3 linked regions of the Mus musculus genome follow. The protein of the gene in region 1 interacts with the protein of each later gene in a pairwise test. Links are inferred from orthologs where the notes say so. Each region holds a gene or a part of one and is shown in the gene's direction. Other genes may lie near its edges.

Evidence for each region.
Region 2: the proteins of Enkd1 (region 1) and Begain interact in binary tests that used the Homo sapiens proteins (3 or more experiments, as listed by UniProt). The two-hybrid records come from large-scale screens. The link is inferred for Mus musculus from reciprocal best matches to the Homo sapiens genes ENKD1 and BEGAIN.
Region 3: the proteins of Enkd1 (region 1) and Pnma2 interact in binary tests that used the Homo sapiens proteins (3 or more experiments, as listed by UniProt). The two-hybrid records come from large-scale screens. The link is inferred for Mus musculus from reciprocal best matches to the Homo sapiens genes ENKD1 and PNMA2.

Annotation. Positions count from the first base shown.
Region 1 is NC_000074.6:105,705,809-105,709,552, reverse strand, and holds the start of Enkd1 (enkurin domain-containing protein 1), read left to right. Parts: upstream 1-1,344; 5' UTR 1,345-1,396; exon of another isoform or gene 1,397-1,629; 5' UTR 1,630-1,644; coding exon 1,645-1,729; intron 1,730-1,809; coding exon 1,810-2,004; intron 2,005-2,814; coding exon 2,815-2,987; intron 2,988-3,744. Other genes in the region: 4933405L10Rik (uncharacterized protein C16orf86 homolog), read right to left, coding at 1-153, 540-757, 1,038-1,121. UniProt on the Homo sapiens protein: Microtubule-binding protein which regulates microtubule organization and stability. Promotes the stability of astral microtubules and facilitates the proper orientation of the mitotic spindle.
Region 2 is NC_000078.6:109,065,522-109,069,265, reverse strand, and holds the start of Begain (brain-enriched guanylate kinase-associated protein), read left to right. Parts: upstream 1-1,048; 5' UTR 1,049-1,098; coding exon 1,099-1,140; intron 1,141-3,744. UniProt on the Homo sapiens protein: May sustain the structure of the postsynaptic density (PSD).
Region 3 is NC_000080.6:66,909,724-66,913,467, forward strand, and holds the start of Pnma2 (paraneoplastic antigen Ma2 homolog), read left to right. Parts: upstream 1-1,484; 5' UTR 1,485-1,570; intron 1,571-3,744. Other genes in the region: Dpysl2 (dihydropyrimidinase-related protein 2), read right to left, coding at 719-1,060.

The DNA of each region.
Region 1 (3,744 bases):
GATGCGCTGGCCACAGCGGGCGGCACAGGAGCCCCGCCACTCTTGCGTTTCTTGGCTTTTTTGTGCTGTTTCGAGGACAGTGAGGATTCACTGTGGCTGCCTTCTGGCTCCTCCTTCTTCTGCAGCACCCCCGGTGGCAGCTCAACTTCTGACCTAGGATGGACATGGTGCTTGGCCCTGGGAGGGCTGGGGAACCCAAACCTGGGACAAGAGGCCTGAAAGAGGCAGGCTTCAGTCTTTGGTTCCTATATCTTGAGCCTAGGGCTTACCCCTGCCTGTCCACTAGAGCTAGTTAGCTGTCCATTTCTTAGACAGTGAAGCTCCAAGCCCAGTAGAGGCTCAGCATTTATGGTAGCTCAGTCTCCTTGCAAGATCTAGAAGTCCCAAATCCATACCAACCCCCCAGCCCCCAAGTTCTAGAGTTGGGAGTGAGGGGTATTGGTCAAAGACAAGAATCTCTGCCTTGAAGGAATGGGGATTTAGGAATCTCCGGGCATAAGACCCACCTTCCCAGCCCTTCCCTCCGAAAGCCCTCTCACTTTCTCTTGGGCCCATGAGCTGGTCTCACGATGGATGACGTAGGCTTGGGTCCTCTCTCCTCTCCTGCTTCCACCCCTGCATTGAGCCCTTCCTCTCCCACCTTTATTCCTTCCTCCTGGAGCTCTGGCTCTAAGCTGTGCCCCACGGGACACTTGTCTTCGCCTGGGCTCCTGCAGGTCTCATGTGCCGGCACCAGACACTCTTCTGTTCCTGGACACTAGAAGATACACATAGGTCATTGGGAGCCGATGGCCAGGCAAAGTATTGTGGGGATCAGTTATTCAAAGCCCAAAGCTGCTGCAATTGGAGTACATCTCCCTTGGTTGGGGGGGTGGTGGTGTCTCCTAACTACATATTGGCCACAAAATATGAAGGTAACCAGCTTAGGCCTCTCTACTTGTAGGGCTTGGCCTGGCAGTTAGAGGGTTGGGTTACCTAGAGTCCCACCTCTCCTGCCCTACCCCTCCATCTCCCGAGCTTTGAAATGCCCAAGTCACCTCAAGGCTCTCTGCAACCTGGGCTAACCCTACTGCTGCCCCATTCTGGGTTTCTGGCTGCCTCTTGGCCCCTTCTGAGGCCATAGGCTATGAGGAATCAGTGCATCCCTCGACAGTTGATCAGAGAAAACCTCAGGCCCAGAGCGGGGCTGGACTGGTACTCAGTGCTGGTAGGGGAGACAGGTTGAGAGGTAAGGCTCCTGTTGAGACCCGAGACTTAGAATCACTCCTCATCTGGAACTACAAACCCCAGAAGGCTGTTCGCCTTAGTCATTTGACCCCTGACCTCAGGAAGCCATTTGTTGCCAAGCAACAGCAACTCCTACCGGCTTGCAACAGTTGGCGGTAAAACTGCTCCAGTGAGAGCCCTCGCTGGGGCTTGGCGGGGGAGGGGCGGCGAACCCCTCTGGGCAGTGGGCTAGTCGCGGGGCGGTGGTACAGTCTGCGCCTAGAGACGGGCGGTCGTCGAGGGGTGGGGCTCGGTGATGGGGGCTACCGCGGGGATGCAGGGCTCGGGTGGAGGGTGGAAGCACCCGACAGGGATTAGAGGGGAAAGTTGCGCAGCGCAACAGGCCCTGGTGCACTGTTGCAGGGCTGCGGTAGGATCATGTGCGAGGGCCCGTCCCGCATCTCTGGACCCATCCCCCCAGACCCCACTCTCTGCCCGGACTACTACCGGCGGCCGGCCTCGGGTGAGTTGCGGGGTGCCTCGGCGGGGCGAGTACCCCGCCCCACCCCTGAGCACGGCTTTCCACCGCGTCTTGCTCCTCAGCCCAAGGACGCCTGGAAGGAAACGCGTTGAAGCTGGACCTGCTGACTTCAGGTCGGGACCTGGACTCCAGTCCTCCTCGTGGCCCTCGCATCAGGCCTGAAGCCCGAGAGATCCTAGAGCGTGGCCAGCGAGGCGTGGGGGACGTGCTGCTGCAACTGGGGTGCATCTCCCTCGGTTCGGGGGTCTCTCCTAAGAGTAAGTCCTTGCAGACGGGGTATTGAGGCATTCTTAGGTCAAAAGCAGAGATTAAAATAGGGTGCTTCTTAATTGCCTTGAGCCCATGCAGTTAATGTTCTTTTCTGGGTCTTAGTTTCTCTAGCATAAAAGAAGGGCAAAATACAATACCTCCTGGCAGGATCAGAGTCTATCCTTCTGCAGAAAGCCCTCGCTTCAAGCTTTCACACCTTGATGGAGCATTGTTTACTTAGTGCCTACTTTGTGCCAAACCCTGTAGCTGTTAGGAAAACGGGGTTAAAAAGTATGGGAGTCGTCCCAGGGTAGGGTAGTATCCAAGGGAGGCTTCCCCTTCTCTGAGGAGAAGAGAAAGGGGTAATGGGGGGGGGGGGATTTGGCACAGGCAGGACTGGGAGTAGAGGGGCTACAATTGGGATGTGTGAATTTAAAAAAAATTGGCGGGGGGAGTATGGGAGTCACAGTTGGAGGCAATGAACAAGACAGGCCATGTGTATAATATACACGGTGATTAATGGTATGCTAAATCATAAAATGTAGAAGATAACCAGGAGGGTGACTGTGGAAGGGAATAAGCTGATAACTGTGCTGTGGGTATGATGTCTAACTTCCATGAAGAGGCCTTGGTTGTATTTAAAAATGTGTGTGTATGTGTGTGTGAACCCAGGGCCTCTCTTCTACCAGACATCTCCCAGATTGTCTGAGAGGTCTTTCTGCCAAGGGTAGGGTGTGAATCTATATTCGATCTAGTCCGAGGTGCATGGCCATTTGGTAGGGCTGTCCCTAGCAATATTCCTCCCTGCACCCTTCCAGGGAAGAATCCAAAGGACCATGAGAAGGAAAACTTGAGGCGGATCAAAGAGATTCAGAGGCGCTTCCAAGACCAGGAACGCAGCCGGGAACAGGGTCAGCCTAAGCCACTGAAGGCACTGTGGCGCTCACCCAAGTATGACAATGTGGAGTCTCGAGTCAAGGCCAGGATGAAGGTATCTGTCCCAGGGAGGCAGACCTATCCATCTTGGCCAAGGCAATTATATCTGATCTAACTTACAGAGCATGTGTGTGCGTGCGTTCATGAGTGCGTGCGTTGGGGGAGATGGTGATCACAAAAGACTAAGACATCTGGGTGGACTTTCTCTGGGGAGCTGATGGCATCAGGTCAAGGATTAGGCTAGAGGAAGAGAACATTCCACAGAGATAAAACCCCACAGGTAGATTCTGGCATCAGAGGGAGTAGGGGCAATGGGCATAGTGGGCATAATTCAGTTTGTAAGGGGGAGAAGCAGAAGGTTTGAACAGAAAGCCAGCAGGGTACATATCTGAAAGAACTACCTAAGTTACCTAGTTACATGTGATATTGGAGATGGAATCGTGAGACACATGCACACTAGGTACTCATATAATATACCCACGACCTTCCTGCTAACTCATTCTCGGTTCCCCTATCTCTGTGTCTCTGTTTCACGCAGCCCAGGCTGACCTCAAACTCTTTGACTTTCTTTTTTGTTTTGTTTTTGTTTTGGTTTTTTTTTTTTTCGAGACAGGGTTTCTCTGTATAGCCCTGGCTGTCCTGGAACTCACTTTGTAGACCAGGCTGGCCTCAAACTCAGAAATCCGCTTGCCTCTGCCTCCCAAGTGCTGGGATTAAAGGCATGGGCCACCACGCCGGGCTACTCTTTGACTTTCTAACTCTCCTTTGTCCACCTCCTGAGCGCTGGGATTAAAAGTGTTCACTACCACACT
Region 2 (3,744 bases), on another chromosome or scaffold:
ATGGTGGTGACAGCCCCGTGACAGCATGGATGTCCTCGCTGCCCCTGGACCGTACACTTAAAGGTGATTAAAATGCTAACTCTTGACATGTATGTTTACCACAGTACAATGTCAACATACGTGCTGTAGTCGCTGCTAGTATCCCCTTATCTCCCTCGGAAACCATTAACACTCAACCGTTCAGCCCACAGGCCCTGAGAGAAGCCAAAGGTAGGCTCTGCTGTCTTTTTCCCCCACCCCAGATCCTTCCTGGCCCCATGTGATTGACTCTACTAGACTGGAAAGATGCTCCCGGGGCAGAAGGGGGACCCTGGTTTCTCGGGACTTATGCTAGTTAGCTTCCATACGTGCTCCAGTTTGGTTGGGACTATCAGCACCACTATGCCAGTGTCTCACCCAGGGCCAGAATAACCTGACAAGTCCTGAGCGCTACTGGGGCCAGAGAGGGATGCTCTACCACAGTCACAGTTGCCCTCCTGAAGTCATGATTCCTTTTGGATTACTTCTTGGAAAGAAGGAGCCCCTCCACTATTATGGAGCTCCCAGACAGAGATTTACAGGCCAGTCTTGGAAGTATATAGGGGGGCTGCTGCAGTTTAAGGAACCCATGACAGGTATGGGGGCTAGGCATCGGCCAGAACTTGAAGGGCAGAGCAGTGGACTACACCCTTGGAAGTCACTGTCCTGTCTGTAAACTGCAAGGTCCCTGAGGGCAGGGACCTGTCTCTCACTGCCAAGTCAGTCCCTGGGGACCTGAGTGGCCGGTACACAGCAGGTACCTACTAAATGCTGGTACCCCACCCCCAAGCAGGGCCCGGGACACAAGGCGTTGCACCCCACACTCCTCCATTCATGCCCGCCGCCATTCATGCGCGCGGGACTCATTCACCCCGCGCGCCGCCATTCCGCGCCCTGTGCGCCCCGCGCCCACCACGTGCGCCCTGCCCGGCGCGGCGCGGGGAAGCGCCGGAGCAGCCGCGGCTGCGCGGGGCCGGGGCTGGCGGGGAGCCGGGCCGGGGGCGGGGGGCGGGCGCTCCCTGCGGGAAGCGGGGCGCTGGGGAGCCCCGGCCGCGGGCTCGGGCGCGCAGAGCCGGGGCCATGTGGACGGGTGGCCGGCGGCCGGGCCGGCTTCGCCGGGCGGTGAGTACCCGAGAGCCGGGCTGGCAGGGCGCGGGGCGGGGCTGGGCGGCGGGCACCACGCTGGGGCGGTCCCTGCGCGCGCCCGCGGCGGCCCTGGGTGGCGCCGGGGCCCGGGGCCCTCGCGCGGGGCGGGGCGGCCGGGCCTCCGCGGCTGCTTTGCGCGTGCGGCCTGAGGACTTGCGGAAGGCGGGTGTAGGGGGCCCGGCTGAGCCCACCCCGTTCGGGGGGCGGCCCTGGAGAGGCCGCAGAGCCGGAAGGAGACTGGCCAGGGACCGCTTCCCGAGCGTGGGCCGCGCGTGGGCCCGCGCATGCCTCGGGCACCTTCATCTCCGGCCGCCCTAGCAGGCCGCCAGCAGTCCTCCCCATGGACAGGCGAGGAAACTGAGGCTGGGCAGGCAGGGCCACTCTGCAGGCGCTGACCTGCTCACAGAGCCCCTGCACGTTGGCTGGGAATTTCTGCCCCTAGCATTTCCGTTTCCTGCCTGGTTTAGAGGTGTTTCATTCCTCGTGTGTGCCCACCCCATCAGAACAAGGTTCCTTTGGGGCAAGAGCTGCGTGGGCGACATCTCGGAATCTCCTGAGGGAGCAGGATGGGAGCTGGGAAGGTCCCCTGGAGCAAGGGCTGGCTGCAAGAGACAGACAGGAGCCATGCAGGTGTGCAACCCTGATGCCCAGGGTTGGTCCACCAGTGCAGTCCCTGGGCACATGTGGGGGACATCATCTTTCTGGATTCCCTTATCCTGAGGTCCCAATACCCTGGGCCCCTGGAGGCCATGGGATGCTCTCTTAGGTTCTCTGGGCCTCAGTTCCCCCACTGTCCAGGAGTAAGTGGTCTTTGCTACTCTCAAGTCTAGGCTATGAGAAGGTCTCTAGGAGGAAGCCCCTTTTCTGTGCTGTGTCTGGGCAGCCCAGTAGGGCAAGTGGCCTTTGGGGACGGCTCTGCCTGGCATCTGTGACAAGCAGGGCGGGGAGGCAGCAGCAGGGCCTGGCAGCCTCCTGCAAACCCTTAATTTTCCCACAGCTCACTATAATCAGGGCGGCTCTGGAAAGCAAGCACAGTGGCAGATGCAGGCGCAGGGCGAGGGGCTCCTGAGCAGCACCAAGGACCCTCCCAAGTTCCTGTCTCACATGTGTTCATTCCTGTGGCCTGCTCTGTGTGCTGGCTCCTGAGTAGTGAAGTGGGAAGTCAGGGATGCCTGGGGCCATGGCCTGTAAGAACTTCTCATAGGCTGGAGGTCAGGTGAGGGACCCACATAGGCCAAGAGCAGAATTCAGTGTGAAGCAGTCCGGACAAGGACTTACTTTCTCTTTCTCTCTCTGTCTCTCTCTCTGTCTCTCTCTCTGTCTCTCTCTTCTCTCTCTCTCTCTCTCTCTCTCTCTCTCTCTCTCTCTCTCTCTCTCTCTCGGCCTTGAGCATCTGGTTGGCCTGCAGTGGCTGCCATTTATAGAATACTGACTGTGTACTGGGTATCGTCATTAGCACCATCCCCGTAGCAGCATCCCGGAGAGTGAATGGACGGATAAGTGAATGAATGAGTGGATGGGAGAGAGGGACAGCAGTCAGTCAGCAGGGCTTGGACACAGTCCACAAGAATTCCCCACAGCTTCCAGGAGAAGACCCACAGGCTAAGCTGGGGGAGATGAAGTTAGCACTGGGTTAGCAGGAAGAGGCTTGCAGGGAGTGAGAAGGCGTGAGTCTGAGAACCACAAAAAGCATCCTGCAGAAATGTTCAGTCAAAGGCCAGGGCAGCCCTTCCAGTTTAAGACTCTGATGGTCAGAGCTGCAAACTGTGTTGGTCCACAGTTGTCCCAGGGTCCCCTCTCACCTCCCATCCTGCCTCAGAACTCGTCATGTGACTAATGGAGAACTTTGGACAGGGTTTGAAGCCCTAGGTTCCAGTCTCTGTTCTGGGCTGATTTGCTGTGTGACCTCTACAGAGCCTGGTGTCAGAGGTCAAGCCCCTAGGACAGCCTGAGGAGTGACTCAGAGCAGTCCCCAGCAGGTGACTGGTGACTGGCAGCTGGATGGTGCTATCCCTGTTGGGTCAGTCTTAGGAATGGGCAGATGGGTGAATGGGTTGAGGCATCCTCTCTGCTCACCTTGCATAGTTTCTTTGGACGCACACTATCACTTAGGCAAACCAGCCTTCAGGAGCTCATGGTCTAACGAGAGATGTAGATCCTAGCCAGCATAGCAGGGAATGGGAAGGTATTTCTATGTCCTACTAATCAAGAAGAGGCCAACAAATGAGCCTGGGAGTCAGCATGGTGCTTCAGAGGGAATCTCCTTCAGGAATGCAGCAGCTATCCAGCCCTAGGCTGAGCCAGTGAGCTGAAGTTGTGTCCGATCAACAAGCTTTGAACTAGGTTGGGAAATGGGGTAAGAAGAGAAGTGAAGAGACCATAGGTCATACGTTGGTGCATGCTGAGATGGAGGGGAGGGGAGATGGTACTGATGGGAGGGGCAGCGAGGTACTGATGGGAGTATGTATCAGGACAGACCAGTAGTAGGTGAGTAGAAAGCTGGAGAGATGGATGGAGGGGAGGAAAGCCTGGTGGTTATAAGAGAAAAGGAAATGTATGGGAACTGATGGAAGAGCTGAT
Region 3 (3,744 bases), on another chromosome or scaffold:
TGCTTCCCTTACAGCGCTGGGGAAGCGCTCTGAGAAGCCCTTGCCGAGACACTTAGCAGAACTTTGTTCTCTACATGGGCTATCTAGCTTTTCTCAGTGACATCACAACCTCCCGGACTCTTCACTGGCTGCTGAACACAGTCCAGGCAATGGTAAGAGGCTCCGGGCGCTGGCCGTGGTCCTGACCTCCTAGCTCAGAACCATGGTGCTGAGCGCACTAGAGGCGGGGACCTTGCCACACTGAGTAGCCATGTAAGCCCTTGTCCCTACAGACCCCAAGGGAATCCTCTAGTCTTCACTGCAGCCTTCCACTGCTCTCTTTGAGCTGCATCAAAAAAGGGTGGGGCTCTGAGCCGCAGCTGCAATCGGATGCCGCCCGGGAGGATTTAAGAACAGCACAGTGGTCCACCCCAATCGCCACTCGACGCCTCCAGCCCGGGGATCAGCTGGTCCCTGACGCGGGTTCCCCACCTCCCAGGGACAAGGAGGCTAGGGCAGCCTTTGTGGGAGCTCAAACGCCCACTGGCGAACCCGTGCCTCGCCGCACCCTGCGCGGTGAAGGGGTGGGCAGGGCGCGGTGCGCGTGCAGATGCGGGAGGCAGAGCTCTTGGTGCCGCGTGCTGGCTGGTGCTGGCTGCCACGCGGGGATGCTCGGTCCTCCGCGACAAGCCAGGGGGCAGCCCCGCGCTCCGATCCCACCCTCCACCCCCATACCAACCTGATCATAGATGTTCTGCAGGGCTTCCTTGCCCGAGGCCCGCCGGATCTCCACCTTCCGGCTCGATTCAACAGATGGCTCCCCACTGGCACGCCGGCTCTGCCGGTGCGGGTCGGGGCCCAAGTGGGCGACATCGCGCTGCTGAGCCACCACTTGCCCCGAGCCCCGGCCCACTGAAAGCGAGTCGAAGTCGATGGTCTTGTTCTCCGAGGACCCTTCCACAGGGCAGAACATGCCGCAGAATTTCTGCCGCGGCTTGGGACTGCCGGAGCCCAGGTTTTTAAAAAAGGCAGGGACCTCTTCGTCCTCTGCTGCCTTTCCAGATTGCTTTCTCTCGGCCATGGCTCAGGGGGCGCTGGGGAAGGTCCTGTCTGTTCGTCCGTCCGTCCGTGGTTTCCTAAGTCTCCCTAGCTGGGTGTGCACTAGCCTCTTGCTGCCGCCGCGGCTGCCTCTCCCTGCCTACCGCAAGGTGCACAGAAAGGATGGAGAGCTGGCGAACCGGCGACCCACCCCTCGCGGTCCCTCCTCCTGACCCCGCTTTCTCCCTCCCTGCCCACGCCCCCCGGCGCCGCCACGCCACCTCCGAGCAAAGTTGGATCTGAGCGGGCGGTCGCTGCGGCAGAGGATGCCAGTTCCCGGCAACGCGGGGCGGGGCGGAGTGGGGCGGGGCAGGAGGAACGCAGGATCAGGAGGGAGGGGACAAGGAGGGAGAGGACCCAGAAGGAGGAGACGGAGAAGGGAGGGTACGAGGGGGTGGGGGGCGCCCGGAGCCTGCGCCCCGGAAGTAAAGCGGACACTCCACCCGCTAATGGACGCGCGGCAGCCGCCCGACAGACCTCTCTCGGCGCCAGGGTGAGTGTCGGATAGCTATAGCCGGGCAAGGACCCGAAGGCTCAGACCCTAGTCCAGAGCCCCTCTCCCCGACCTGCCTCACTGCATTGCTAAGGTGGCCCTGGGGCTCCCCTGGCCTCGGGTGAGAGCTGAGGGTTGAGGGAGCCAAGGTTCAAGCCTGAAGGCTCTTGGAAACTGGGCAGGGGTGACCCTGGAAACAGCAAAGTCTACTCCGGGATAACCAAGTATCCGGCACCAATGCTTCAGTTTACCCACGACCTGGGCGCCAGGGCGCGCACTGCAAGGAGCAGAAGGAAAGGAGAATGTTCTCCCTGCTTGCAGCCCCTGTGGTTGGGAGGTGGGGCTCACAACATGGCGGGGGCGAAAAAGCAGAGGAGCATAGCAAATGCAAGCGGTGACCGGGGGAGAAAGCAGCAAGCCTGCGGTGCGGGGGGGGGGGGGGGGGGCATAGTAAAGAATGCAGACTGAGGATTGCGCTTCAGCATAGAAACTGGGGACCCGTAACATCATCTGAAAAGGCCATGCCCTGCACATCAGCCATTGCCTCAGAAAAGGCTCAGAAGAGTCCTGGATTTGATATCTCCAATCCCTCAAAACACACACACACACACACACACACACACACACACACACACACACACACCCAAAACGGAAAATGGTTGGGGACTAAGCAGACTGAAGCACACTCATCTTGCTTTCAAGTCGCCCCGCCTAGCTTCCCCGCCCCTGTTGCACGCTGCGCAGGAGGCCCGGGAGTTTGCCAGATGTTCCTTCTCTAGGGCCGCAGCGGTTTGCATGGAGGGTAGAGGTAGATTGCTGTTCAGGGGAGGGTTACATGCTGTGTGAGTTGTGGGCAGCCAAAGTGTGGGGATTTGGAGTGTGTGCGCGCGTGCACACGGTTCAGCCACGACCGCCAGGTTCGAGGCTTTTCCTTGCTTAGTCCCACCTCCTGGTCCTGGCTTGGTTGCATTTAAGCCCCTCCTGTTTTTCCAGAGTGGCTGAAAGCTGCAAAAGTGTTGCCCATCCTTTAGGGGTTCTGGAGCGAGATCTGAGCATGCTCACTAAGATGGATGGGTTTGGTCTAGGAGAGGCAGTTTACTGCAGCGTGTTCTCACAGGGCGTTGTGACCAAGAAATCAGTCCCATTGTCAGCCTTTGCTTAGGTAACGATTGCTTGCAGATATCAACGCCCCCAGTTGCCCGAGATAGCTTGATTGATGGAGTCATAATTTGTGCGCACACACACACAATCCTGTAGGAGCCGAAAGGAGGGCCTATGGACCTTAGCACCAGAAATGCTTGGAATTTTCTTATAAAGTGTCCATTGGAATTGTCAATGCCACACTAAAGCCCTGAGGTCTTTCATCCTCCCTGCCTTCCAAGTTAGGACACCAGTTTATGAGTCATTACGCCTAAAGTCATGTGTCTAGTTGTCCAGGCCTTTGCCCCAAGAGCCTGGTTCCTTCAACAGGTTATCCTATAGGCCTCTTTAGTGAGAAAAGTACAAAATCCTTGCATTCTTCCATACCCAAGCATTTCCCTGGTGGTTCTTTTGTACATCAAGGGTGTTTCATTTACAGTCTTAAAATCTTTTTTGGTTAACCTTCATTTATGTATATGGATGTTTTGCTTGAATGTTTGTACATGCACTGTGTACAGGCCTGGGGCCATTGGCGGCCAGACAAAAGTGCCAGATTCCCCTGGAATTGAAGTTACAGAGTAAGCCAACTTGTGGGTGCTAGTAACCAAACCTGTGCATTTCACCACTAAGCAATCCCTCCAGATGTGTGAGGCCTTAGTTAATTGAAGAGCAACCCTTGTAGGTATGGTTACCATTGGGTTAAAGGTCTCAAAGGCTAGCAGATTTCAGCATGACAATTTTTCTGTGAATCTGGACATTTGGTGTTTTTTGTTCATTTGTTTGTATTTGTCTTTTTTGTTTGTTCGTTCGTTTTCTGTTTGTTTCGGTTTTTCAAGAGAGGGTTTCTCCGTGTGACAGCTCTGGCTGTCCTAGAACATACTCTGTAGACCAGGCTGGCCTGGAACTCAGAGTTCTGCCTGCCTCTGCTTCCCAAGTGCTAGGATTACAGGCATGCGCCACCACTACCCAGCATGTCGCTTGTGTTTGTTTTTGCTCTTTCTGAGACAAGGTCCTGTTTGTAAGCCCAGGCTGAC